Oryctolagus cuniculus: one gene and its partners. The protein of the gene in region 1 purifies or fractionates together with the protein of each later gene. This does not show direct contact. Links are inferred from orthologs where the notes say so. Each region holds a gene or a part of one and is shown in the gene's direction. Other genes may lie near its edges.

What was found.
Region 2: the proteins of SPAST (region 1) and NUP133 purify together in Homo sapiens (affinity purification with mass spectrometry; 3 studies listed by BioGRID and IntAct, counting the BioPlex papers as one, with this or other methods). This does not show direct contact. The link is inferred for Oryctolagus cuniculus from reciprocal best matches to the Homo sapiens genes SPAST and NUP133.
Region 3: the proteins of SPAST (region 1) and NUP98 purify together in Homo sapiens (affinity purification with mass spectrometry; 3 studies listed by BioGRID and IntAct, counting the BioPlex papers as one, with this or other methods). This does not show direct contact. The link is inferred for Oryctolagus cuniculus from reciprocal best matches to the Homo sapiens genes SPAST and NUP98.
Region 4: the proteins of SPAST (region 1) and NUP85 purify together in Homo sapiens (affinity purification with mass spectrometry; 3 studies listed by BioGRID and IntAct, counting the BioPlex papers as one, with this or other methods). This does not show direct contact. The link is inferred for Oryctolagus cuniculus from reciprocal best matches to the Homo sapiens genes SPAST and NUP85.
Region 5: the proteins of SPAST (region 1) and NUP107 purify together in Homo sapiens (affinity purification with mass spectrometry; 3 studies listed by BioGRID and IntAct, counting the BioPlex papers as one, with this or other methods). This does not show direct contact. The link is inferred for Oryctolagus cuniculus from reciprocal best matches to the Homo sapiens genes SPAST and NUP107.
Region 6: the proteins of SPAST (region 1) and NUP43 purify together in Homo sapiens (affinity purification with mass spectrometry; 3 studies listed by BioGRID and IntAct, counting the BioPlex papers as one, with this or other methods). This does not show direct contact. The link is inferred for Oryctolagus cuniculus from reciprocal best matches to the Homo sapiens genes SPAST and NUP43.
Region 7: the proteins of SPAST (region 1) and NUP160 purify together in Homo sapiens (affinity purification with mass spectrometry; 3 studies listed by BioGRID and IntAct, with this or other methods). This does not show direct contact. The link is inferred for Oryctolagus cuniculus from reciprocal best matches to the Homo sapiens genes SPAST and NUP160.

The regions. Positions count from the first base shown.
Region 1 is NC_091433.1:170,783,380-170,787,524, reverse strand, and holds the start of SPAST (spastin), read left to right. Parts: upstream 1-1,345; 5' UTR 1,346-1,358; coding exon 1,359-1,773; intron 1,774-4,145. UniProt on the Homo sapiens protein: ATP-dependent microtubule severing protein that specifically recognizes and cuts microtubules that are polyglutamylated.
Region 2 is NC_091444.1:90,206,253-90,209,752, reverse strand, and holds part of NUP133 (nuclear pore complex protein Nup133), read left to right. Parts: intron 1-1,366; coding exon 1,367-1,502; intron 1,503-3,500. UniProt on the Homo sapiens protein: Involved in poly(A)+ RNA transport. Involved in nephrogenesis.
Region 3 is NC_091432.1:63,190,066-63,193,565, forward strand, and holds part of NUP98 (nuclear pore complex protein Nup98-Nup96), read left to right. Parts: intron 1-471; coding exon 472-628; intron 629-3,500. UniProt on the Homo sapiens protein: Plays a role in the nuclear pore complex (NPC) assembly and/or maintenance. NUP98 and NUP96 are involved in the bidirectional transport across the NPC. May anchor NUP153 and TPR to the NPC.
Region 4 is NC_091448.1:5,303,175-5,306,674, reverse strand, and holds part of NUP85 (nuclear pore complex protein Nup85), read left to right. Parts: intron 1-51; coding exon 52-158; intron 159-3,274; coding exon 3,275-3,358; intron 3,359-3,474; coding exon 3,475-3,500. UniProt on the Homo sapiens protein: Essential component of the nuclear pore complex (NPC) that seems to be required for NPC assembly and maintenance. As part of the NPC Nup107-160 subcomplex plays a role in RNA export and in tethering NUP96/Nup98 and NUP153 to the nucleus.
Region 5 is NC_091442.1:71,074,031-71,077,530, forward strand, and holds part of NUP107 (nuclear pore complex protein Nup107), read left to right. Parts: intron 1-680; coding exon 681-825; intron 826-3,088; coding exon 3,089-3,192; intron 3,193-3,500. UniProt on the Homo sapiens protein: Plays a role in the nuclear pore complex (NPC) assembly and/or maintenance. Required for the assembly of peripheral proteins into the NPC. May anchor NUP62 to the NPC. Involved in nephrogenesis.
Region 6 is NC_091436.1:18,268,087-18,272,309, forward strand, and holds the start of NUP43 (nucleoporin Nup43), read left to right. Parts: upstream 1-1,423; 5' UTR 1,424-1,494; coding exon 1,495-1,614; intron 1,615-1,887; coding exon 1,888-2,010; intron 2,011-3,670; coding exon 3,671-3,748; intron 3,749-4,223. UniProt on the Homo sapiens protein: Component of the Nup107-160 subcomplex of the nuclear pore complex (NPC). The Nup107-160 subcomplex is required for the assembly of a functional NPC.
Region 7 is NC_091432.1:18,194,928-18,198,427, forward strand, and holds part of NUP160 (nuclear pore complex protein Nup160), read left to right. Parts: intron 1-1,612; coding exon 1,613-1,712; intron 1,713-2,015; coding exon 2,016-2,181; intron 2,182-3,302; coding exon 3,303-3,430; intron 3,431-3,500. UniProt on the Homo sapiens protein: Functions as a component of the nuclear pore complex (NPC). Involved in poly(A)+ RNA transport.

The DNA.
Region 1 (4,145 bases):
GTCTTGCTGCGTAATCATTAAAGTTGTGGCAGGATGCTGAGATTCCGTAGACCTCACACTATAAATAATGGGGACTTTGTATCACTTAGGATGCTTCTGTTTTAGGCAACGAGGAACAATTATGGTTAACTCAAGTCAGAAGAGAAAAAAAACAGAGACAGGGGGATAGGGAGGGGAGAAAGAGAAAGCGGGGGAAACGGGGGAAGAGAAATAGACCGAAGTGTATTAGATAGGTTACGTCATCCGGCCAGTGCAGGAACTCTGCTCTGGGACCACAGTGGGATGCTCTAGCCAGGGAGCTCCGTGGAGCACTCGGTGGCAGCCACCTTCGCTCTCAGCCCTTCTCCAGCCAAGATCCCAGTTCCCAGGGGAGTCTCATTGACCGACTGATCCTGAGTTCTGTGTTTGCAACTCAGGAGAACCCTGGGAGCAGAGATGAGTGGGTAGTTGCCGAAAGGAAGGGAAGCCAAGTAGACTTAAAACAAAAATGCCAGGAAAACCACAGCACGGCTTCCTCAGCAAACTACAGGGTGCTACGCAGAAATCTAAAAATTCCGTATTCGAGTAAGTTATTTCTTCAGACGAGACATCTAAATTCGTGCTAATTTAGTGAAAATCCTAGATTCGTTGACCTCACCGTAGAGAGGTAACATTTTTCACTTGGGATGACTTGATGTTTGTCTCTTCACTGCCTGCTCCCCTAACTCCAGTCCGTATACTCACTGCTCCTGAATTCAGACCAATCAACCTTTGTAATAGACTGAAGTCAACTGGCAGAAAATGATGAAACCATGACACCGAGAGATAGAAGCGCTGCAAACTTACTAGCAGCCCCAAGCCGCCGTCTCCCTATTCAAGGAGTAATTCCCCAGCTTGCTGGTAGGAGCTCCCAGGGCAAGCGCCGTCCGCGGAGCTACATGGGAGTCGAAGTGCACCTTGGGAAGTGTAGTTCCACGAGGAAAGGGCCGAGTGGCAGGCGCCGCACACGCGCACAAGAGACCAGGTCAACAAAGACGGCGGCGTGCGCGCGTGCGCGCGCGGCGGAGAAAGGCACGGAAGGGCGTGCGCGTGTGCGTGCGCGGCCGGCGCTCGGAGCTTCCTTGGCGCTGAGAGGACGGAGAGAAGGGGGGGTTGGAGCCACCGACCGAAGGAGGAGGAGGAGGAGGAGAAAGGGTTGTGCTCTTGGCCGAGCGAGGGGCGGGGCCGCGGGCGGCGCGTGCAGGTGCCGAGCTCCTGGGACCCGCCGGCGTGCGGGGGGTCTGTGGCCCTCGCCGTCGAAGCAGTCGCCGCCGTCGCTGGGTCGCCGTCGGTCTGCGGAAGGCGGGTTATGGCGGCGGCGGCGGCAGTGGGAGCTGTGAATGAATTCTCCGGGTGGACGAGGGAAGAAGAAAGGCTCCGGCGGCGCCAGCAGCCCGGCGCCTCCCAGGCCTCCGCCCCCCTGCCTGGCCCCCGCCCCTCCCGCCGCCGGGCCGGCCGCTCCGCCCGAGTCGCCGCATAAGCGGAACCTGTACTATTTCTCCTACCCGCTCTTCGTCGGCTTCGCGCTGCTGCGCTTGGTCGCTTTCCACCTGGGGCTCCTCTTCGTGTGGCTCTGCCAGCGCCTCTCCCGCGCCCTCATGGCCGCCAAGAGGAGCTCCCGGGCCGCGCCGGCGCCCGCCTCGGCCTCGCCCCCGGAGCCGGTGCCGGGCGGCGAGGCCGAGCGCGTCCGCGCCTTCCACAAACAGGCCTTCGAGTACATCTCCGTTGCCCTGCGCATCGACGAGGACGAGAAAGGTACCTGGGGGGCTGGGGGAGGGGGGGCGGCGGCGCGCCCGGGGAGGGCGACACCTGCGTCCCCCTCCTACGGGCGGCGGCGCGCCCCCGGAATCGATCCGCCCCGGGAGACTGCCTCCCTGCCGGTCAGACCCTCGTCCGCGGCTCTCGGCCAAACCTCTCCCGTTTCAGCGCGCCCTCGCTGTCGACTTTGTTTCAGACACCAGCCTGCCCCCACGCTCCTGCACGATCCGAGTCCTTGAGAGGCGCCCGGACGTGCTGGTGACAGTGACAGTTGTCCTAGCGTGACCACAGGGATCCTTTCTGGCCCTGGACACAGTGTGTGGCTGCCTCCCAGCCAGGTTTCGATACCGAAGAAGCTGTGCCGGGTTACAGGCTTGCAATGAAAGCAGAGTACTGAAGTGTCAGTAAAAAGAACAAACGGTGACTTGATTCTGCGGGTAGCTGAGGATGAGGGCAGCTGAATGCGGATTATTTTTTAAAGCTTCAAGACTAATTTTATTGATAAAATGATTCCCGAATCTCTTTAAGGAAACTTGTATTTTAGCTAAAACTTCTGCTTCTGGTTGCTTTGATTTTTTAGTAGGCAAGTATTTAAGTATTGCAAGGTGGCCTCTTCAGTCTCTAAGTAGAAATGTTGAGTGAATTGAGAAAACTTGCAGGTATCCGTTTACAATGAAACCCAAAACAGAGATGTATGTTTCCAGCGGAAGGCAAGGCTGCTACATCCTGCAGGTTCTTTGAAACTAACTTTATTTCAGTCTTCCTGGGTGCCAGGCACTGTGCTGTTTGCATGTATCGGCGTATTTACGCCTCCCGGTGACCCTGTGAACTGATGGTACAGATGCTGTTGGCTCTTATACAGAGCAGAAAACTAAAGCTCTGAGGATTAAAGCAGGTCACTCCAAGCCTGTGCTCACCGTTAGTGAACTTTTTTTTTTAAGTGAAAAATAATGATAAATGAAGTTAGGAGTCTGATAACATTTCAATCTCTCCTTTTCATCCTCACGTCTAGTATGCTGCCATCTTGCTTTGCCTTCTCCCGAACAGCACTTGTTCACCTTGTGTCAATTAGGTACTGGGTTGCGTTGCCCATTAGTGAAAACAAAAACCATCTGCAGCTCATTTGTAGCGTCTCCCTGTTACCAACCTCCAGAACTCAGTCGTGGTGGTTACTGTTTATCTGTGGGCCTGGGTGAGCAGTAGGGCACAGGAAGGCAGGTGTTCATGGTTGGGGAGTCAGGACAGAGCAGAGGCTGAGAGACCACCAGAAGGGCGGCTGGTTAGGAAGAGGGCTGTGTGTTTGTGGAAGGAGGCTCTGCGTTCCTGACCGCCTCTTAGGGACGACTAGGGTCCCTCGGGGAGGGTGGAGAGAACCCCTCACCGCCCTCCTAGGGAAGCAGGGTTCCACTGCAGTAAGCTGGTACCGGAGGATCCTCAGGCTTTCTCATCTACTCAGAGACCTTGTATGATGCTGGGAATGCGTTTGCTGGTAGATTGTTTCACTAGTGTGTTTCACAAGAGATGAAAGAAAATGGGAGTCGAGAGATAGAATAAGACCAAAGAAAAAGGAAATCCCAGGTGCTTAACAAGACCCTAAGCTCTTAGGCTTGAAGGGCAAGCAGTTCTGTGTGCGGTGTAAATAACACAATTCAGACCTTGGGTTTAGGCTCATGACTGACTTTTCAGTGTCATATTCATATGTCTATGTGTGCATCTTCTTAAAATATTTTAATTTTAAATTTATATATAGTATACCCTCTTCCTACTTGATGTTTCTATTCACAGTTGTTGTTTTTTTTTAACTTTAGTTATATTTTATCTGGTAAAGTGGATACCAGAATGATAACTCTTTTGAGTTCCACAGTTGGTCCCCTCATATGCCAAATTATATTAGCTCAAACTAAAACAAATTAGTTGTGTGTTCACTTTCCCCTAAAAACTGAGTTTATATTGTCATGGTTACCTCCTTTTTTTTTTTTTTAAGATTTTATTTATCTATTTGAGAGGTAGAGTTACAGATGGTGAGAGGGAGAGACAGAGAAAGGTCTTCCTTCCGTTGGTCGCAATAACCGGAGCTGCGGCATTCCGAAGCCAGGAGCCAGGAGCTTCTTTCTGGTCTCCCATGTGGGTGCAGGGGCCCAAGGACTTGAGCCATCTCTGCTTTCCCAGGCCACAGTAGAGAGTTAGATCGGAAGAGGAGCAGCCGGGACTAGAACCGGTGCCCATATGGGATGCCAACGCCGCGGAGGATTAACCAACCGCGATGGCCCCATCATGGTTATCTTCTAAAAGTTTTTCTTTAGCTTACTGAAAATTTTTGTGCTTCCGCCCTAATCCAGTGGTTGAAAGACAACTTGCAATTGAAGTCT
Region 2 (3,500 bases), on another chromosome or scaffold:
TGCGGGGTTAATGTATGTAATGAAGTAATATTCAGCCTTTAAAAATAAAAGTATCATTTTCAGGAACATGGATAAGCTTGGAGGATAGTATTAAGTGAAATAAGCAGGCACAGAAAGATAAATACTGTATAATCTCACTTATACGTGGAATCTAAAATAGCTGAGCATACCAAAGCTGAGAGTGAAATGGTGATCATCAGAGGCCGGAGGATAGGAGAAATGGAGAATTGGGTCAAGGGGTACAAAGATTCAATTAGGAGAAACCAGTTTCTTTGAGATATGTTGTATAGTGTGATGTCTATAGTTGATAATAATATGTTGTGTATTTCAAAATTGCTAAGAGAAAATTTCAGATATTCTCACCACAGAAAATGATAAGCATTTGAAGTGATGGATACATTAATTAGCTTGGTTTAATCATTCCACATTGTATGCACATATCATCACATCGCTTTTACTCACAAATGTATACAATTATAATTAATTTATAAGTTTTTAAAAGTTGGAGGTACTACTTACAGATATTTTAAAATGTGCATCCTTGGGGCCGGCACAGTGGTGCAGTGGGTTGTGCCATGGCCTGCAATGTGGGGATCTCATATGGGTGCCATTTCAAGTCCCAGCTGCTCCACTTCCAATCCAGCCCACTGCTAAGGCACCTGGGAAAAGCAGCAGTAATAGCCCAACTGCTTGGGCCCCTTCACCCACGTGGGAGACCCAGAAGAATCTCCTGGCTAATGGCTTCAGCCTAGCCCAGTCTTGGTCGTTTTGGGAGTGAACCAGTGGGTGGAAGATCTCTCTGTCTATAACTCTGCCTTTCAAATAAATAAGTAAATCCTTTAAAATGTACACATATGTATATATTCTTTCCTATTCTCTCATATAATTTAAATAAAAGATTCTGCTTGATTTACGATGATGTTAACATTACCTGTTATAACTCAATAAAAATATATAGCCTACAATACTTTGTCTATTACAATAAAATCACAAAAAATTTGCAAACATGTATATAGTGGTCATTGGCCTTTTATTGTAATGAGTATGTGCTTCTAATAAAAACACACAAATTAACTTGAAAGCTTGTTCTCAACATGATATTCAAATGAATTATAATGGTTATAAAACAGATGTTTTAGTTATGTCACTGTCCCCAATAATTAGTGTGTCTGGTAGATGTTTTGTAAGTATTGTGTAATTACTCTGAATATGTCACTGATCACCTCATAGGTTTGCTAATTAACAACTTGTTTTTCATTGGTAAAGCTAAAGGGAAAAAACTAGTTTGGAGTACACTCAGCCTTTATTTCTAGGTTGAATTGATACCCAAGATCTTACCATGGTTTTCATGTTTTGTTTATTGTAGGCTCATGCAACACTTCTAGGTTTGGCAAATATGGAAACTCGTTATTTTGCAAAGAAAAAAACTCTGCTTGGCTTGAGTAAATTGGCCGCACTAGCTTCAGATTTTTCAGAGGATATACTGCAAGAAAAAATTGAAGGTAAAAGAATTTGAGCAAAAAGACTTTGACTAATTGTTATCATTCATACTTCAATGAACTCTTAAGATGTCTTCCTATCATCGTTTAGTAGAATCCATTAGGAACAAGACTCATCCATCTCTACTTAAGAGGAAAACTTTTTTCAGTAAGAATTCCTAAATTCAAATGGCTTGACTAAACACTCTGATTATGTACTTTTGGTAGTATATATTATATGAGCAAAAAGAACTGCAAAGATACACTGACCTTTGTATAGTGGGTTTGTTGTAGGTAGTAGTATGATGCAGTAATTCTGAAATACTCTGTATACCCTGTAGATAGAAAAGATGATTACATATAGTATTATGTTTGAGAACCAAGGAGGAGGGAGATACAAATACTAGTGTAGAAGGAAGGTGAGGAAGAACCCTGTATAATTGCATTTGTATTGAACATAATGGATAGAATGATTTTTTTTTTATTTTTTAAAATTTTCATTTTATTTGAAAAGCAGAAATAGAGGGTCAGAGAGATTGAAGAGAGCTTGTGTTGCTGATTCCCTCCCCCCAGATGCCTGCCACAGCCAAGACTAGGCTAGGCTGAAACTAAAAGCCTGGAATTCAATTCAAGTCTCCCAAGTAGTTGGCAGTCATCTGCTACCTCCCAGGGTGCACATTAGTAGGAAGTTAGATTTAAGGCAGAGGAGCTAGGACTCAAAGCAGCCCTTAGATGTGGGATATGGGCATCCCAAGCAGCAACTTAACCATTGTGCCACATGCCTGCCCCTGGAATTTTTATAAAAAAGTGTATTTCTCTCCACTGAAAGGGCCTGAAAGCAGTGACACCGCAGTAGCATGGGTATTCCTAATTCCATATTTTAGTTTCAAACTACTATTGCCCAGTAAAGAAGGAGGCCATATTGAAAAGATGCCCTTACAGGTTTTGGGTGAGAAAGCAAGGTTAATGTAGAGATGTCACAAGAATACAAGATCCTTGAACAGCCAGCCATCACTAGCCAACTTCAGGGATAATTTGAACAACAAAAAGAATGGTTTGGGTTCCTTCCACTCATGAGGGAGACCCAGCCTGAATTCCAGGCTCCTGGCTTCTCCCTGACCCAGCCCTAGCTGTTGCTGGCATTTGGGGAGTGAACCAGTAGATGAAAGATCTCTTTCTTTTCTGCGTTTCAAATAGAGAAAGGGAGGAAAGCAGAGGGAGGGAGAGTTTTAAGATTTATTTGACAGAGTGCAATGGCTTAACCTACTGCCCCGTAACACCAGCCCCAAAGACAGATTCACATCTCATACTTCCTCAAGATATGACAGTATATATCATCACCTGTTGCTAAAATGTTCGACCTGGGACATTTGACAGTACAGTCAGCCTGGGCTGTTCAAAACTGTAGCAACATGAAAGACCAACTTAGATTAAAGAGGTTATAAGAGCCAGGATAACCAAATGCAGTGCAAGATTCTTAATTGGGTCCTAGATCATCCCCCAAATAACCAGGGTAACTACGATGAATATTAGGGGGATAACTGGGAAAATTTGAGCATGCTTAATAGGTGGGATTACTGTACTGATGAAATTTTATAGGCCTGGTAATTTATTGTGATTGGATGTTCTTGTTCTTAGGAAATACATATATTTATTTAAAAATTAAGTATTTAAAAATGAAATGTTACAAAGTCTGCAACCTTCAAATGATAGGCAAAAAAAACTCTGTATGTGGTGAAGTATATATGAAGTTGGATATTTGGTTGCATTTCTTTTTTAAAAAAAATTTTTTTTAATTTTTTAATATTTATTTCAAAGTCAGAGTTAGAGGCAGAGGGAGAGAGGTTTTCCATCAGCTGGTTCACTCCCCAGATAGCCACAACAGCTAGAGCTAGACTGATCCAGAGCCAGGAGCTCAGGAGAAAAGGTCTCCCACATGGGTGCAGGGACCCACCCAAGGACTTGGACCATTATCCACTGCTTTCCCAGGCCATAGCAGGGAACTGGATCAGAAATGGAGCA
Region 3 (3,500 bases), on another chromosome or scaffold:
GGTTTTTTAAGGGTATTAGTATCAGGTGATCTGGATTCTAATCCCAGTTTTGTGAATTTATTACTGTGTGACAGTCATTTAACGTCTGTGAGCACTGACTTCTGTAAAACATAACTTTTTCTACTTTGAAGGTTGTTTTTGAGGCTTTGTAAAGTGTTCCACAAAATTTTAAAGTTTCTGTAAACCCTGTCTCTACTTCACCTTGCCCATGCCAAAAGGCATGAGTTTAGCTTTTGGCTTGTGCTTATGTTTGATTTTAAAATTATTTATTAAGACCTCAGCAGTTGCTATATGCCAGGTTCTGGTGAGACACATTGTAATGAAATCAGTAACACAAATATTACAGTATTTCTGGACACTATCTTAAGAAGTAATTTTTTTTGGTTGTTGTAAACTGTATCTTTTAGTAGCCTTTCAGTTTCAGAGAGCACATTCATTGTGTGTCTGTGTATATACATATTGCCTTTTTAGATCATGAAAGCATCACTGCTTGCTGATGAAGAAGATATAGACATGATGCTGGATCAGCGCTTCAGTCATGTTCCTTCCAAAGCAGATGCTTCTCAAGAAATCTGTTCTCCCAGACTCCCCATTTCAGCATCCCACCCATCAAAATCTCGTTCACTAGGTATTGTATAAATACGCTGTTTTACAAGAAAGCTGTAGAGTCATCAAGTTCCACGTTTCATATATCTCCTGTGCTGAGTAGATTTCCAGAATGTATCTCCCTAACAGCCATACCTCTGACATAAGAATGTTAAGAGAGCTCACACTCTTATATTAGGAGTGTCCAGTTTTTTAAGAACTATAATTACTTCTGTTGGTGAAGATGCAGAAATTGTATGGAGAGTATAGTATTTGTGCTTTGCTTAGGGTCATGCTTTTGTTTGCTTATGAGTATGAATTAAATAAGTTCCAATTTCCAAATTTTTATCACAAGTTACTTTGAGGATTTAACAAGTTGTCCTACATTGGACTCTCTGTGTAGTCCTAATGCTATCTCAGTGCCTTATGAGGAAATCTTTGCCTTTTGATAATTCATAGAATTCATCAAGATTCAAGATTCCAATTTTCCCTAAGCTTTTTGCCTAGTGGACTAGTAACTTGGTGGAATTGGAGGTAGGGTATTACTATAAACAGAACACTTGAACAGTTAAGTGAATATTAAGTTGTGGTCATTGGAGCAGCAGTTAAGATGTCATTTGGGATACTTGCATACTATAATGAAATTTCTGGATTGGAATCCATTCAAGTTCCCTGGGAGGCAGCAGGTGATGGCTTATATAGTTGTATCTCTGCTACCTGGGATTGAATTCCTGGCTCCCAAAACTCAAACCGGCACCCATATGGGATGTTGGCAGTGGGGGCAGCGGCTTTACCTGCCATGCCACAGCTCTGGCCCCATGCTGCTCCACTTTTTTTTTTTTTACCCCTCCAGTAGAGGGCGCACTCTTGCGAGCGGCTTTTGTAGCCAGTTGCTTCCTGGGTGCTTTACCACCAGTCAATTTGCGGCAGTCTGCCCTGTATGAGCCATGGTATAAAGACCTCCCTACTTACCACACTTCTCCTTCAGCTGGAGCTCGGCGAGCGAGAGGCCGCGCTGGCGTTAGAGAGCAACGGCGGCACGGCTACTGCTCCACTTTCAATCCATCTTCTTGCTAATGCAGCTGGGAAGGCAGTGGATGATGGCCCAATTGCTTGGGCTGCTGCCACCCTTCTGGGAGACTGGGATGAAGTTTCTGACTCCTGAGTTTGACCTAGCACAAACCTGGCTGTTGTGGCCATCTGGGGAATGAATAAGCAGGTTAAAGACATTTCTCTCTCTTTCTTGGGGTCTCTCTAAGTCTTTGTCACTCTGCTTTTCAGACAATTCAGTTAATAAATCCTTTTAAAAAATTGTGGATTAGGCAATTCTTTTTTTTTTTTTTATTTTTTTATTTTTTTTTTTTTTTATTTTTGACAGGCAGAGTGGACAGTGAGAGAGAGAGAGACAGAGAGAAAGGTCTTCCTTTGCCGTTGGTTCACCCTCCAATGGCTGCCACGGCCGGCGCGCTGCGGCCGGCGCACCGCGCTGATCCGATGGCAGGAACCAGGAGCCAGGTGCTTTTCCTGGTCTCCCATGTGGGTGCAGGGCCCAAGCACCTGGGCCATCCTCCACTGCACTCCCTGGCCACAGCAGAGGGCTGGCTTGGAAGAGGGGCAACCGGGACAGAATCCGGCGCCCCGACCGGGACTAGAACCCGGTGTGCCGGCGCCGCTAGGCGGAGGATTAGCCTAGTGAGCCGCGGCGCCGGCCCGGATTAGGCAATTCTAATAAGAACTTTTCCTCAGAAAAGTACATGTGCAATCATAAGAATTTTCAATATTTTTTTCTTTAACTCGTAACAGAAGGTAGGAATTTGAGTTTTGATCTTTGATCTTACTAAGCTCTTATAAGGACTAAGAAAGTTATTTTGAATTTTTTAAAAAGATTTATTTACTTATTTATTTGAAAGAGAGATAGAAAGCTTCCATCTGCTCTTTGAGACCCCCAAATGTCTGCAACAATGGAACTGAGCCAGGCCAAACCCAGGAGTCTGGAATTTCGTGCAGGTCTCCCACATGGGTGTATCTCCCAAGTACTTAAACCATCTTCTGTTGCTTTCCCAGATGCATTAAAAGGGAACTGCATTAGAAGTGGAGCAGGTGGGACTCAAACCAGCACCCATGGGATCCTGGTATTAGAGGCAGCAACATAACCTGCTGTGCCACAGTCCTGTCTCCTTTTATCAGACATGGTGTTCCATTTGACTTTTTGATACATTTATAGATTGTGTAATGTCCACTCAGGGGAAATACATCTCTGTTCAAACATTTAACAGTTCTTTAAAAAACATCCAAAATCCTATCATGGATTTGTTGTGTGTGTATGTGTGTGTGTGTGTTTTTAGTAACATAAATATATAAGAATTAACCATGTGTAATCTTCACACATTTGGAATTTTTATTTAAAGTTTTTATTATTTATAATTATATAATTAATATATATTATATAATATAATTAATTATATGAAAAGCAGAATGACAGAGGGAAAGGGAGAAACGAGAGAGAGAGAGATCTTCAGTCCATTGGTTCTCTCCCCAAATGACATCAAGGGCCGAGGCTGAGTCAGACCAAAGCCATGAGCCAGGAACCCCATCCAGGTCTCCCATGTGGATGGCAGGGGCTGCAAGTACTTGGGCCATCTGCTGCTGCTTTCCAAGATGTATTGGCAGGGAGCTGGACTAGAAGGAGTGTACCTGGGACTTGAACCAATGCTCCAATAAAGCATTGGTATCATAGGCAGTGACTTAACACACTGCTCTGCAATGCCTGCCCCCCACATTTGGGATTTTGGTATGGGCTTAGTACTGGTAACAGACCTCCCTGTACTTTCCCTGCCAGTCCTGGTATTTGGTAGATTTTTTGAGTTTGTACAAGCTACCACTTACTTGAAACCAGTTTTCTTACTTACAAAAAT
Region 4 (3,500 bases), on another chromosome or scaffold:
TGGCCAGCGGGCGGCTCCGCAGAGCTGAGAGCACCTCACTGCCTTTCACAGTCCAGCCTGGACCTGTTTCTGGGAGGGGAGAGCAGCCCGGAACCTCTGGACAACATCCTGATGGCCGCCTTTGAGTTTGACATCCACCAGGTGATCAAGGAGTGCAGGTGAGCCCCGCCCGGCGCCACTTCAGCTGCTGCTGCTGCTGCTGTTTGAAAAAAAAAGTTGATTGATTTACTCGGAAAGCAGTTAGAGCGCTTCCGTCTCTGGTTTCCTCCTCCCCAGTGGTTGTAAGGGCTGGGCTGGGCCAGGCCGAAGCCAGGAGCTTCCCGGTTCCCCACACGGGTGCAGAGGTCCAAGCACTTGCGCCATCCTCAGTGCTTTCTGAGACCGTAGCAGGAGCTGGATCAGAAGGGGAGCAGCCGGGACTCAAACTGGCACCCATAGGGGATGCCCGTGCTGCAGGCAGTGGCCGGCCCCAACTGGGTGCTTTATAAAGAACAGAAATGCATTTTCTCACAGTCCGGTAGCCAGGAAGTCCAAGATTCGTGTTTGTGTCCAGGTTGGGTGTTTGTGAGGGCTTCCAAGATAACGCCTTGCGTTCCATGTCCTGACGTAGAAGGGGAAGGGGCGAGGGGCCGAGCTTCCTCCCGCGAGCCCCTTTGTCAGGGAGCCTCACGCCCTTCAAGGGCGCCCTCATCACCCGACCCCGCTCAGGGCTCCACCTCTGAGCACCATCATGTGGGCCCGCCTGACCTGGAGGGAACCATTCAAACCGTAGCACCTGCTGCCCGCCTCAGCGGATGCAAGGGGACAGCACCTGCCCTCTGGAGGAGCGTGGGGGCTTTGCTGAGGCACGAAGGCCATTGTGTTTATAACCATCTCCTCAGGAACCCTTATTAAAACTAACACCGCATGAAATGTTTTGATGTTTAAAATCCAGAAAAGGCCAGCGAGCCTATTCCTTGGTACCCAGTGGACAGCCGCCTTTGGGTCGTACCGCAGTGTCACTGGTGAGTGCAGGGCGGCCAGGCTGCTGGTCTTGTGCTGGAATCTGCAGGGTTTCCAGCCCGCTCCCTGTCCCGTCATTGCACTGACACTTGAGTGTGTCGGAAAGGGAATGTCAGACACGCAACAGAGGTAGGACCTTCCTGGACTGTCCACACATACGAAGGCAAAAACACGTGCCGTGGGGCCAGCGCTGTGGCGCGGTTCCTGTCTCAGAGCAGGCTGGGAGGCAGCACCTGCTCAGGAAGAGGCAGACTCCGAGCCCGGCAGCCAGCGTCTCGGACGCCTGGGCCGAGGGCTGCGAGCGCAACTCTTCCCCGGGGGTGATGCCCGATGCGATGTCCCGTGGGGTTCGGGGGCCTCTGCTCCTCACGGGCGCTTTGCCGGCCCAGGACAGCGCGGGGCTTTCCCCTTCCCCAGGTCCTGTGCCCGGAGGCTTGCTCTGCCCACATCTGTTGTGTCTGAAACCCCAGATAGGCCTAGAGGAGCTGGTGGAACTTGCTCACTGCTGCAGCGGACGAGAGGTCTGGGAGGTTTTACTTAGAATTAGGGCGGGGATGCCCATAAAGTGGAATGTCAACGTGTGTCTTTGTTATTCTCGTTTGCTGCACACACATGCTCCCATTCCTGCCATCAGCCATGTGGGCCTATGAAAATATTGACAGAAAACTGCTCTGGCTTTCCCCAAGTTTACCACTATTTTCCTGAAGCCCTGGTTTCCTTTTTGCCAAAACAAGAGCTGGTGGCTGCAGGGAAGCGCTTACCACTGCCCAGCACTGCTTACAGTCTGGCGGAGCTCGGGAGCTCGACGCCTCGCCAGGTCATCGGCCACGCGCAGCTTTCTCTGCCGGCGCCTTTCTGCGCGGTGCCCGTCTCCAGGCGGCGTGAGCAGGAGGGCAGCTTTGGAGAGGGTTACGTGTTTGCTGAAATTCTCTGTGATTCGCTCCCAAGATGGCCACGACGACCTGGGCCGGGCAGGCCGAAGCCAGGAGCTTTAACCGTTCTCCCCCGTGGTGGAGGGCCATCCTCTGCTTTCCCAGACTTTGGCTTGGAGCCGGATGGGAAGCGGAGCAGCCAGGACAGGAGCTGGTGCCCACGTGCTGCGGCGGGCGTCACGGGTGGCCACTGACCGCTGTCCCGCAGCACCGGCGCTAAAGCTTCCTCGTTCTGACACTGAAGCTGCTCTCAGAATCGCAGGGCGTGTACGTGCAGATCCCGAATCTAACTGCTGGATCCAGAGTTGCTGGAGTCTGCACAGAGACCCTGGCACCACTCAGCCGTGCCCAGCCTCGATCACTTGAGCCCCCACCCTTAGTGCTTGGTGGGAGTCTTCCTTCTGCTGGGTCCCTCCCCAAATGGCCGCAACGGCCTAGACTGGGTCAGGCCAAAGCGAGGAACCAAAAACTCGGGTCACCCATGCGGGGGACAGGGCCCAGGCACCTGAGCCGCCAGGGCTGCCTGTCAGAACGTGTTGGTGGAAGCTGGCTGGGAAGCAGCAAGCCGGCACTAGCACTAGCACTCCAGTGTGGGGTGCGCGTCGCAGGTGGCGGCGTGGCCTGCCCCTCACACTTCAGAGGGGACTGTGTGTGCTGTGACGCGGTGCCACCATCAAGCTGACAGCATAGTGAGCACCTCAGTTGCCTCTTGTATGCGTGTATGCCTCTTGTATGTATGTATGAGAACATTCCGGGTGGGTTTCGCGTGTACGGTGCGTTACGAGCTGTGGGCCTTGGCCAGCATCTCCTCCCTGCCACCCGCCAGCCCCCGGCAGCCCCCGGCCCACTCAGTGTGTGTGTAGAGTCTGCGCCTAAATGTGATCGCAGCGATCTTCAGTGTCTGGCTCATTTCACTTAGTGTAACGTCCTTCTGGTCCATGCAGGCTGTCACACGTGGCTAAGTGTCCACTGTGTACCCACACACGTACACCTCATCCCTGCCAGCACAGCCGTGTCCACTGTGAAGGATTTTTCCCCTTTACACACATGCCAAGGAGGACTGCGGGGGGACATGTGGTAGTCTGGGGGTAGCTGGGCCTGTGCGGGTCTGACTGTTTGCCGTGAGGCCTCACCAGCGTGCACTGCCCGCAGCACACAGGCTCCCGGCTCCACACCCTCAGCAGCACCTGCTCTCGTGACTGCGGTAGTGGCCGTGCTGACAGGTGGGGGGGATAGCCCACCTGTGTTCCGAGGCAGGGACGTGGGGTTCCTGCCCACGCCTCGCTCCTGTGGGACGTGGCCTCTCCTGACTTTGCCTCCTGCCTGGTCTCAATCTGCAGCATCGCCCTGAGCAACTGGTGGTTCGTGGCCCACCTGACAGACCTGCTGGACCACTGCCGACTGCTGCAGTCACACAACCTCTAGTGAGTGGCTTCAGGCCCTCGGGGTGGGCGGGCGGAGTGACCAGAAGGGAAGCCGGGCTGAGGAGGGGCCCTGCACGGAGCAGGCCCAGAGTCTTGTCTGTCACGGTCCGTTGCAGTTTCGGTTCTAACATGAGGGAGTTCC
Region 5 (3,500 bases), on another chromosome or scaffold:
CCTCCATCTTTTTGGAAAAAAAAAAAAAAAAAAAATATATATATATATATATATATATACATATTTATTTATTTATTTGAAAAGCAGAGTGACAAAGACAGTGGGAGAGACAGAGAGATTGTCCATCCACTGGATAAGTTCCCAAATGCCCAGAATAGCCAGGATTGCCAGCCTGAAGTCAGGAGTCGGGAACTCCATCCAGGTCTCCCACATGGGTGGCAGGAACCCAAGGCCTTGGGCCATTATCTGCAGCCTCCCAGGCGTGTTCCCAGGGAACTGGATCAAAAGCGTGGAGTGGCTATGACTCTGATGTGAGATGCTGGCATCTCAAGCTGCACCAACGATACCTGCCCTCATCTGTTTTTAACTGCTGAAGAAAACTGGTTCTCCCATCCTTTATAGTACTTACGAAGTAGGGCTTAATTTTATCTGCTAATATTAGCTTAATTTTACAAAATGTAATCCTTACTAACTTTTTTAAAAGCATGGAGTAATACAAAGAAGAAAACATTAAAAATCCATAAATTCCTTAACATAATAACCCCTGTTGGCTATCTTTTAAAAGTAAAATACACAGAAGTAATGTTTTTAAAATGTGGTTGAACCTTATTCATTTTTAAAGCATTTGTTCACTCAGTGACAATAGCTCCATCACTTTTCTGCATCTTTTTCCTTCCAAGATAACCAATCTGGATGACAGTAACTGGGCGGCTGCGTTCTCATCCCAGCGCTTAGGGCTGTACACAGGTGTAGACGCCCACAGTGTCACAGAGGACGTGAATCTCAGCGCGGTCATGCTACGTGAGGATGATCCTGGCGAGGCTGGTAAAGTGGCTTGGAGCCTTGCGATAAAGCGGTTCTTCTCCTGACTAATGTCACGATGTTTTCTTCTCCTGTTCCTGAATGTCATGGTTTTATTTTTTCCTTTAAAGGGAGGGATGGCTTTAAAAAACCAGAAATTTATTTTCTTGGAATTCTGGAGGCTAGAAATCCAATGTACAGATATCTGCAGGGTTGGTTTTTTCTAAGGCCTCTTCCTCTTTCCTTCCATGGGAGGACAATTCCTATCAGGAAAGTCTTTGCTGGGTCTTCCCTCTGTCTGTATATTTGTCATTGTGTGAATTGCTTTTGCTCTTGGCTGTCTCTGGAAGTGTGAGAACCTGAGAAGCCCTCCTGGGTTGTCAGCAGCGTCTTGCCATTGTATCTGTTAGCATAAACAGCAGCCTTTGGATCATTGCAGGTCTCCTATTTGTATTCTTATTTGTGCCACCAAAAGAACTTAGGCTTAGCTGTAATCTAACACTGCTGATGTGTTGAGCTTTAACCTGGACAGCAGTGCTGCTTTTTCAGAAAGTATTGTAACTTTGCTAGTTTTAGGTTTGTTACTAACGTTTCCTTTTGTACAAGACCATTTGCTTTTAGTGTCTGTGTACCTACATACCATGTTCTTGAGTTTATCATCATCATCAGCTACCTTATGGATGTTAATTGTGTGGTTATCACTCTCCGAATATGAACTCCTGGAATCCTTACCAAGATCCATTACATAGTTAGAATGATTGTTCTCATTTTAGAGGAAAGGAAACCACTGCTCAGATTGGCTAACTGGCTTGCAGAAAATCGCCCAGCTAGGAAGTAGTGGCACCAGGATTTGAAACTAAACAGTTTGATTCCAGAGCCTTGCCCTTAACACCATGGTAACCACCACTTTCTTGCAGTGTCTGCAGTAATACATACTTGAATCTTGGGTTCCCCAAAAATACTTCCTACTTATTCTGTAAAATACAAGAATTCAATTTTAGGATGAGAACTCAAATATTAGTAGAGCAAATGCATTTTCCCTTACCTGAACAGAGCATTGAGTAGCTACTGTAATTCTTAGCCATTTTGTTATGCTGTGCTTAAAATGTAATTCAGATGCTTTAAAATGTGGCCCAATTTTTAAAATTGTTGACAAAATAGGAAACATTAATGACTACTGTATCTTTGGGATCTTACAAAACTAATAGGTTACAAATGAAAAAATAGATAAGTTGGACTATGCCAAAATCTTAAATTTCTATGCCTCAAAGAATCTAATCAACAGAGTGAAAAGGCAGCCTGTGGAATAGTGGGAAATATTTGCAAATTAGCTGAAAGGGGGCTTAAATCCAAAAAATAAAAAAAAAACAACTCCTGTAACTGCTGTAACTCATAAAATGGGCAAAAATTTTGAATAGATGTTTCTCTAAAGATTTTCAAATAGCTAGTAAGCACGTGAAAAGGTGAAATCACTTATCTTTAGAGAAATGTAGATCAAAACTAATATGAGATGCCACCTTACACCATTAGGAGGTCTATAAAAAATGGAGAAAATGACAAATTTGAAAATGATGTGGAGAAATTGAAACCCTTGTATACTATTAGTGGGAATGTAAAATGGTGCAGCCACTTTGGAAAATAGTAAAGCAGTTACTCAAGAAACTGAACGAGGAATTACCTTATGATCCAATAGTTCTGCCTATGCATATATACCCAAAGGATGTGAAAGCAAGATTTCAAAGAGATATTTAAATATTCATGTTCATAGTAGCCAAAAAGTGGAAGCAGCTGAGTGTCCATCCATTGTGTGCTATTTACATAAAATGTAGTAGTAGTATTTAGCCAAAAAGGAAGGACATTCTGACACCTGCTAACATGGATAAACCTTGAGACATTGCTAAATGAAATAAGCAAGTCAAAATAGGACAGACTAGATCATATAGATCTCCCTTATATGAGATACTTTGATAGAGACAGAAAGTGGAATGGTGGTTGCGAGGGACTGGGGATAGTGAGGAATTGGCAGTTATTGCTGAATGGGTAGAGTTGTAGTTTTGCAAGGTAAGAATGAGTGTTGTGGAGTGAAGTTGGTGATAGTAGCACAACATTGTGGATGTGCTTAGTGTCACTGAACTGTGTACACTTAAAAATAGTTACAATGGTAAATTTTCTTTCTTTACAGTGGTAAATTCTTTTTAAAAACTATGTTTTTAATTTTTCAATCAAAATTACCTAAAAGTATGTCCTATAACTTTTCTTTTTTCCTTTTCTTTTTAATGTATTTTAGCATCCATGAGTATGTTTTCTGATTTCCTGCAGTCTTTTTTGAAGCACTCTTCAACTACAGTTTTTGACCTTGTGGAAGAGTACGAAAACATTTGTGTTAGTCAGGTGAGCTGATTTCACCCTGTCATCAAACTCTAGTACTTTTAGTTTGCTAAACAGCATTAACCTGCTAATATCTATTGTGTACTGAAAGGGGATGTCTAGGAATTTAGTGGCAAAAATAGCGGAGAGTGCAGCCAGACCAAATTTTTTAAAAAAGAATCTTATATTTATTTGAAAGGCAGAGTGAGAGAGACAGAGAGAGAGATTTTTCCACCCAAATGGCTGCAATGGCCAGGGCTGGGTTATATGGAAGTCAGGAGCCTGGAATTTCATATGGGTATCCCACGTGGGTGACAGGTGCCCACTGCTGT
Region 6 (4,223 bases), on another chromosome or scaffold:
TGCAGCCGTCGTTTAGGTCATTCGGTAAACGTTTAGGAAAGAAACAAAGCTGTGTCACCGCGTCTAAGCTCTTAGATCAGCAGCAGTTTTCAAGTTCTCGCGCTTACCAGGTTCTGTCGAATGTGACACTGTTCAAAAATACGCATGTCCTCTTGTCGGGGTTCTGTGGTCGTAAACGAGCCCACACGCAATTGTTCTTTCCGTGGATATATGATAGGAATGAAATTGTCGACTTGGGGCTCATCCGCTTCCCGGGCGCCCGTTCCGTCTCTCCGCAGACGGCTGGCGATCTTCGGCTGCAGAGCAGACCCTGGTAACTCTCACCGAAGCCGGCCGCGGCGGTTACGTTTCGTCCACTCCTTGCACAAACTGTCCCGGTGAAGTGGGACCCCCGACCTCGTAAACCGGCAGCCCGGCACGGCCCCCTTTAAAGAGACAACATATAGTTATGAATACAGCGGTGTAAGAGAGTTGCCAAGGTGGAATAAATCATACCTCTTGGAATCAGTAGGATTTCCACGCTAAGGAGCTTTGGAAAAGGAAACCAGAAACGGGGCAAAATGCGTGCTCTTAGTGATGCAGATACGAAACGTTCTGTTTTATTCTCCTCCTCATCCTCCGCTGAGGCCGTCAGGGAAAGGGTGAAGGGTGGACAGGATTCTGAGAGGAGGAGTGGAAAGGTATTTTAGCCATAACCAAAGGCACTAAAGGAACCCGCAGCACTCATGCCCCAGGCTGTGGACGTTAGGTATCACAAAATCCGTTCTTAATTATGTAATGGAAGTGGAGCCGGTGTTGTGGCACAGTGGTTTTAGCCGCCGATTTGCGTCCTGGCTGTTCCCAGCTTTGACCTGACCCAGCCCTGGCCTAAGCCACCATTTGGGGAGTGAGCCAGCGGATGGAAGAGCTCCCTCTGTGTGTGTGTCTCTCCCTCTCTCTGCAACTCTGCCTTTGAAATAAATCTTTTCTTAAAAAATTACGTATGTAAGTGAGTTGACCAAGGTTACAGTTAGGTAACCTTAGGTAACTGGCAGCAGAACTAAAACTGGAGTCAAAGGTTTAGGATAATAAATTCGTACTTTATTGGAAATAGTGCCATGAAGATTGAAGGATTTTGAGTTGTTTGCTATGCATAGTGACAAGCAGCTGATGTGCCTGCAAGGTGGTTTCCCACGCAGTGATTTTGTTCTTAAGTTATTGCACAAGCACGTTGTCTCCATGTTCCTCCTCTGCATTTGCATGTCGGGTGCAGATCCCACTGCACATAGGCCGGGGCACTCTTGGTTTTGCTCAAAGCCACCTCGCTGATCATGGGCGCCTCAGACCCCTCCTGGTCCGGGCCCGGCAGTGCCTGCACCGCCTTCCGCTGGGAATTGGCCCTTCGCGGCCGCCGTCGCCCGGCGAGCTCCCATCCAATCAGAGCTCCGCGGGAAGGGGCGGAACCCGGAGGCGCGCGGCGCGCGGCTGGCTGTGCCTGCTGCTGTTGCTTTCAGCATGGAGGAGCTGTATGCCAAGTTTGTGTCTGAGAAAATCAGCAAAACCCGCTGGCGGCCGGTGCCTCCGGGGAGCCTGCAGACCGCCGAGACCTTTGCCACGGGCTCTTGGGACAATGAGGTACCCTGGCTCCGGGGCGGGACCCCGGGGCTCCGTCCTCTCCCACGCCCAGGTGCCCTGGAGCGCGCGACTTTCCATCCTCCCCGGCCCCGGGTCCGGGGGCTCGGCTGCAGCCAGCGTGGGTGTGCCCGAGCCCCCGTCTTCTTGTTTCACATTCTGCCCATGCCGTGTGAGATGCTTTGGAGCCCAGGTTGCCTTAAGGCGATACGCATTGGGTTTACTTTCCAGAGTTGACGGTTCTGTCATCTCAAGATGAAGCCGTTTGCTTTACAGGAGAATCACGTTTCACTGTGGTCTATCGGAGATTTCGGAAACCCGGACTCTGATGGAAGCCTGGAAGGAGACCATCGACTGTTGTGCGATATCAAACACCATGGTGACGTCATGGACTTACAGGTAAACGCGTCCAGTGCCCAGAGGCTCGCTTCTAAAGAAAGCCAGAGCAGTGCATTTAGAGTGCAGAGACCTGAGAGCTCTCCTGGCCTCACCCCTAGTTTACAGGAAAGCGAGTTCTCCATAGGTTAGGATTTACCCAACGTAGACTGATCACTTAGTGGCACAACCTCCCAGCTGCAAGCGATTTTTTTATTTTATTATTATTATTTTTTTTTTGACAGGCAAAGTTAGTGAGAGAGACAGGTCTTCCTTCCGTTGGTTCACCCCTCAAATGGCCACCTCGGACGGCGCTGCACCGATCCGAAGCCAGGAGCCAGGTGCCTCCTCCTGGTCTCCCATGCGGGTGCAGGGCCCAAGCACTTGGGCCATCCTCCACTGCCTTTCCGGGCCACAGCAGAGAGCTGGACTGCAAGAGGAGCAACCGGGACAGAATCCGGCGCCCCAGCCGGGACTAGAACCCGGTGTGCCGGCGCCGCAGGCGGAGGATTAGCCTATTGAGCTGCGGTGCCGGCCTGCAAGTGATATTTTTGGAGTTTTACATAAGACCGTTTAATTCTAATTACATGTCTGTGAGTCAGTATTGTTATTTCTATTTTGCCCGTGAGAATGCTAAGAATATTATCTTTCGAGCACACACTGCTAAGGATCTCAAAGTTCATGGAAAATGCATATTATAGATAAACTATGCATGGGCTTTTAAAAATTTTGCACTAGAATGCATTATCTTTTAATTTCATTTTCCATAAACTTCTTGAATTATCCTCATTTGTGACAAATACTGTGCAGGGTAGGTCTTTTAAATTTTTTGATTTCTCATAACCCACCCTGAGTAGGATTAGTACTCCCTGTTTAAAAATACAGATTTTTAAAAATTTACTTATTTGAGAGGTAGAGTTAGAGACAGAGAGAAAGTTCTCGATCTGCTGGTTCACTCCCCAAATGGCTGCAATGGCCATAACTGGGCTGATCTGAAGCCAGGAGCTTCTTCCCAGTCTCCCATGCGGGTGCAGGGGTCCAAGGACTTGGGCCATCCTCTACTGCTTTCTCAGACCATAGCAGAGGGCCGGGTCAGAAGAGGAGCAGCCAGGATGGAAACCAGGGTGCGTGTGAGATGTTGGCCCTGCAGGCGGAAGCTTAGCCTATTGTACCACAGCAGTGGCCTCAGGGAAATTTCTTTTTTAATGTATTTGTTAGAGCTCCCATCAACTGGCTCATTCACCAAAGCCTGCGTCAATCAGGAGCCAAGAGCCAGGAACTCAGTCCAGGTCTCCCATGTGGGTAGCATGGACCCAATTACTTGAGTCATTACCATTGCTTTGCAGGACCTGCGTTAACAGGAAGCTGAAATAAGGAGCCAGAACTGGGTGTTGAACACAGGCATTCTGAACTTGGGCATCTCAACCCAACATCATAGCAAGCCAAATGCCCACCACATTCCAAGGCTTAGAGAATTTAACTTGGCCAACCATTTATTCCTCATGAAAATACCTTTATTTGTATAGCAATGTTAACTTTTAGATCTAACAAATGTTATTTGGGTAGCACTTACAGGCTTTTTACCTTTTACAGTTACGTAATTTGCTATAAATTCAGTTAAACAACGGGTTTCCTCCCTACTAGTTTTTCTGAATCTATAATAAGCAGGAATTTTTCTGTTTAGTTTTTTGACCAGGAAAGAATTGTAGCTGCTTCATCAACAGGATGTGTAACAATTTTCCTTCACCATCCAAATAACCAGGTAAAGAACTTTGGTTTGAAAAGTGAATTTGTATTTTAGTTATTTTTAGAAAGGTGTAAGGAAAACCGTATTTAATAGTTTTAAAGCCTTACGATATGAAGGGGGGGAAAATATCATTACTTTTTGCGAATGTAATTCTAGAACCATGTTTTTGTGAGTTGTTTGTTTGTTTGTTTGTTTGTTTTTGAAAGAGAATTACAGAGAAAGGAGGGGAAAGACAGAAACAGAAAGGTCTTCCTTCCACTGGTTCATTTCTCAGTGGCTGCATCAGCCAGGGGTGGGCCAGACCAAAGCCAGAAGTCAGGAGTTTCTTCCAGGTCTCCTGCTTGGGTGCAGGGGCTCAAGCACTTGGGCCATCCTCTACTGCTTTCCCAGGCCATTAGCAGGGAGCTAAATGGGAAGTGAAGCAGCCAGGACTTGAACCATTGCCCATATGAGATGCCGGCATTGTAGGTGGTGGCTTTACCTGCTACGC
Region 7 (3,500 bases), on another chromosome or scaffold:
CAGAGTGAAAGATGTATTGATCTTCTATCTACTGGTTCATTCACCCAAATATTCACAACAGCCAGGTCCAAACCAGGCCAAAGCTAGGAACCAGGAAATAAATACATCCTGGTCTCCCACATGGGTGGCCTGGGCCCAAGTATTTGGCTCGTCTTCTGTTGCCTTCCCAGGCTCGTTAGCAGGAAATTGGATCAGAAGCAGAGCTACTGAGATTCCTCAAGTGGCATCTTAACCCACTGTGCCACAACACTGGCTTTACTAGTGGTGTCTTGACTTATGACCAAATGCCCACCCTGATCTATTTTGTTTTACATTTGATTTTTAAATTTATTTATTTAATAGATAATAAAAAATTAAAATTAAAGTAGAATAAAACATTATATTTTATTTGTTGAATAAATGATAAAAATTAAAAATAGCATAAAAATTTTTTTTTTTTTTTTGACAGGCAGAGTTGGACAGTGAGAGAGAGAGACAGAGAGAAAGGTCTTCCTTTTGCCGTTGGTTCACCCTCCAATGGCTGCTGCGGCCGGCGCGCTACGGCCAGTGCACCGCGCTGATCCGATGGCAGGAGCCAGGTACTTCTCCTGGTCTCCCATGGAGTGCAGGGCCTAAGCACTTGGGCCATCCTCCACTGCACTCCCTGGCCACAGCAGAGAGCTGGCCTGGAAGAGGGGCAACTGGGACAGAATCCGGCGCCCTGACCGGGACTAGAACCCAGTGTGCCGGCGCCGCAGGGCGGAGGATTAGCCTAGTGAGCCGCGGTGCCGGCCTAGAAAGCCTTCATCCAGATCCATCTTTTAATTTCCATTTGTGATTCTTCTTTGTATAAATATGTTTTTTTTTCTGGGCCATTTGAGAGTTTTCTTCCCAGCTTGTAGCATCATGCACTTTTTTTTTTTTTTTAAGATATATTTATTTATTTGAAAGGATACAGAGAGAGAAGGAGAGACAGAGAGCTTTCATCTGCTTGTTCACTCCCCAAATGGCTGCAACAACTGGGGCTAGGCCAGGCTGAAGCCAGGAGCCAGAAGCTTAATGCAGGTCTTCAGCATGGATACAGCAGCCCAAGGACTTGGGCCATCTTCTGCTACTTTCCCAGAAGCATTAGCAGGAAGCTGATCAGACATGGAGCAGCAGGACATGAACTTGTGCTGGTGCTATAGGCTATGGCTTAATCCACTGTGCCACAGTGCTGGTCCCAGACATCATGCCCTTTTGTCCTTAAAAACTTCAGCAAGTCTCTAAAAGCATGGATGTTTATCCTAAATAACCACAGTAGAATTTAAAGATCAACAATTTGATATTGATACATTATTACACAGTTAATAATTTTTCCAGTTGTGCCCATAATTTTCTTTGTGATCCAAGATCCAATCCGAGGACCTAGATATATCTAGTTGTCTTGTTTATTTAACTTAATCTTGAACTATCTTCAGCCTTTCTTTGTCTTTCATGACTGACATTTTTCTGATGACTACACATGTATTTTTTACAGTGTCCATCAACTGGAGTTTCTCTGGTGTTGCCTCATGATAAAACTCACATCACAATTATTTTATACCTTTAAAAATTCACTGAAAAAATGTAACCAGAATATTTCAATTTCCAGGGGTACCTGTCTTTTCTTATGCCCTCTTCCCTAGTGGACCATTTGTATCTACTGCCTGATGAGAACCTGTTGACAGAGGATGAGACAACCATATCTGATGGTAATGATTGTTATTTGTATGTTTATTCCCTTTCCTACATGAACCTGTGCTTTATTACAAGTACATGCAAAATATACTCTGGTTTCTCTTCAGATCGTATAAATCTTTCACCTTTTACAAGTACATGCAAAGGACATTGATTACCACTGGCCATTTTACCACATTGTAGATACTTCAAGGGAAGATATAGAGGCCTCCATATCTCAAAGACATCAGATAGATGTCTGGGCATTTAATAATTAACAATATAATATTAATTAGATCACTGATTTGAGACTAGAATGTTAACTTTTCTCTTCCTAGATGTGGATGTTGCTCGAGATGTCATATGTCTTATAAAATGTCTTCGGCTGATTGGAGAGTCCGTAAATATGGACATGTCAGTTATGATGGAAATGAGTTGCTACAACCTACAGTCTCCAGAGAAGGCTGCGGAACAGATTCTGGAAGATTTGATCACTGTTGATGTGTAAGGAGAACTTAGGGTAAAGTGCATTTCCTAATGGAAATTCAGCAATTTTTAGTGCCAAATCGAATTTTTGTATGCAAAAGAGTGTTCAAATTAATGGCTTGAAGATAAAATGAATTGTCATGATTCTCAATAGATATTTCAGCTTTTGGACAATTTTTTTAAATAAATCTTTGTCTTTTTTTTAAGAATTATTGATTTATTTAAAAGGCAGAGTTACAGAGAGGCAGAGAGAGAGAGAGGTCTCCATCTGTTGGTTCATTCCTCAGGTGGCTTCAACAACTGGAGCTGGGCCCATCTGAAGCCAGGAGCCAGGAGCTTCTTGGTCTCCCACGTGGGTGCAGGGGCCCAAGAACTTGGGCCATCTTCTACTGTGTTCCCAGGCCATGTATAGAGCTGGATTGGAAGAGGAGCAGCCAGGACTCGAACCAGCACCCATATGGGACACAAGCACTACAGGTGGTGGCTTTACCCACTATGCCACGACGCCAGCCCCCAGAAATTTGTTTAAGGGTTTTTTTTTTTTTTTTTTTTTTTTTTTAAGATTTGTTTGTTTGTTTGAAAGTCAAAGTTACAGAGAGAATCTTCCATCTTCTGGTTCACTCCCCAGATGGCTATAATGGCCAGGCCAAAGCCAGGAGCCAGGAACTTCATCTGGGTCTCCCATGTGGATGACAGGGGCCTTGGACCATCTTCTCCTGCTTTCCCAGGCCATTAGCAGGAAGCTGGATCAGCAGTGGAGCAGCTGGGACTTGTACTGGTGCCCATGTGGGATGTAGCCGGGACACGAGCTAGATGTCATGGGCTGTGGCTTTATCCAGTATGCCACAACACCAGCCCCAAACAGAAATTCTAACACATGCAGATTCCTAAGCTGTGATACAGCTATTAATTATTGATTCTAAAAAGAAAAAGTAGTTTCCTCACAATCATCTTGTTTGCCAGTTCTGAAAAGTTGAAAGAAATTTTGCTGTGTGGTATCTCGTATACCTGAACAGTTGTGTCTCCTGCTTTATCACGTTGCTGGCTTTCCTGTGTCACAGAGCATTTAGTTTACAGGACATTGGGTATTCTTGGTAGTATTCTTGGTAGTAACAGAAGTTTCCTGATTGCCTCTGTAGAGAAAATGTGCTAGAGGATATTTGTAGTAAACTGCAAGAAATTCGGAATCCAATCCAGGCCATTGGCGTTCTTATACGGGAAATGGATTATGAAACAGACGTGGAAATGGAAAAGGGATTCAATCCAGGTAAATGACAGAACAGCCAAAGTACCTCTTGGCTTTAGAGAAAGCAGTGATACATTTAACTTTATTTCTT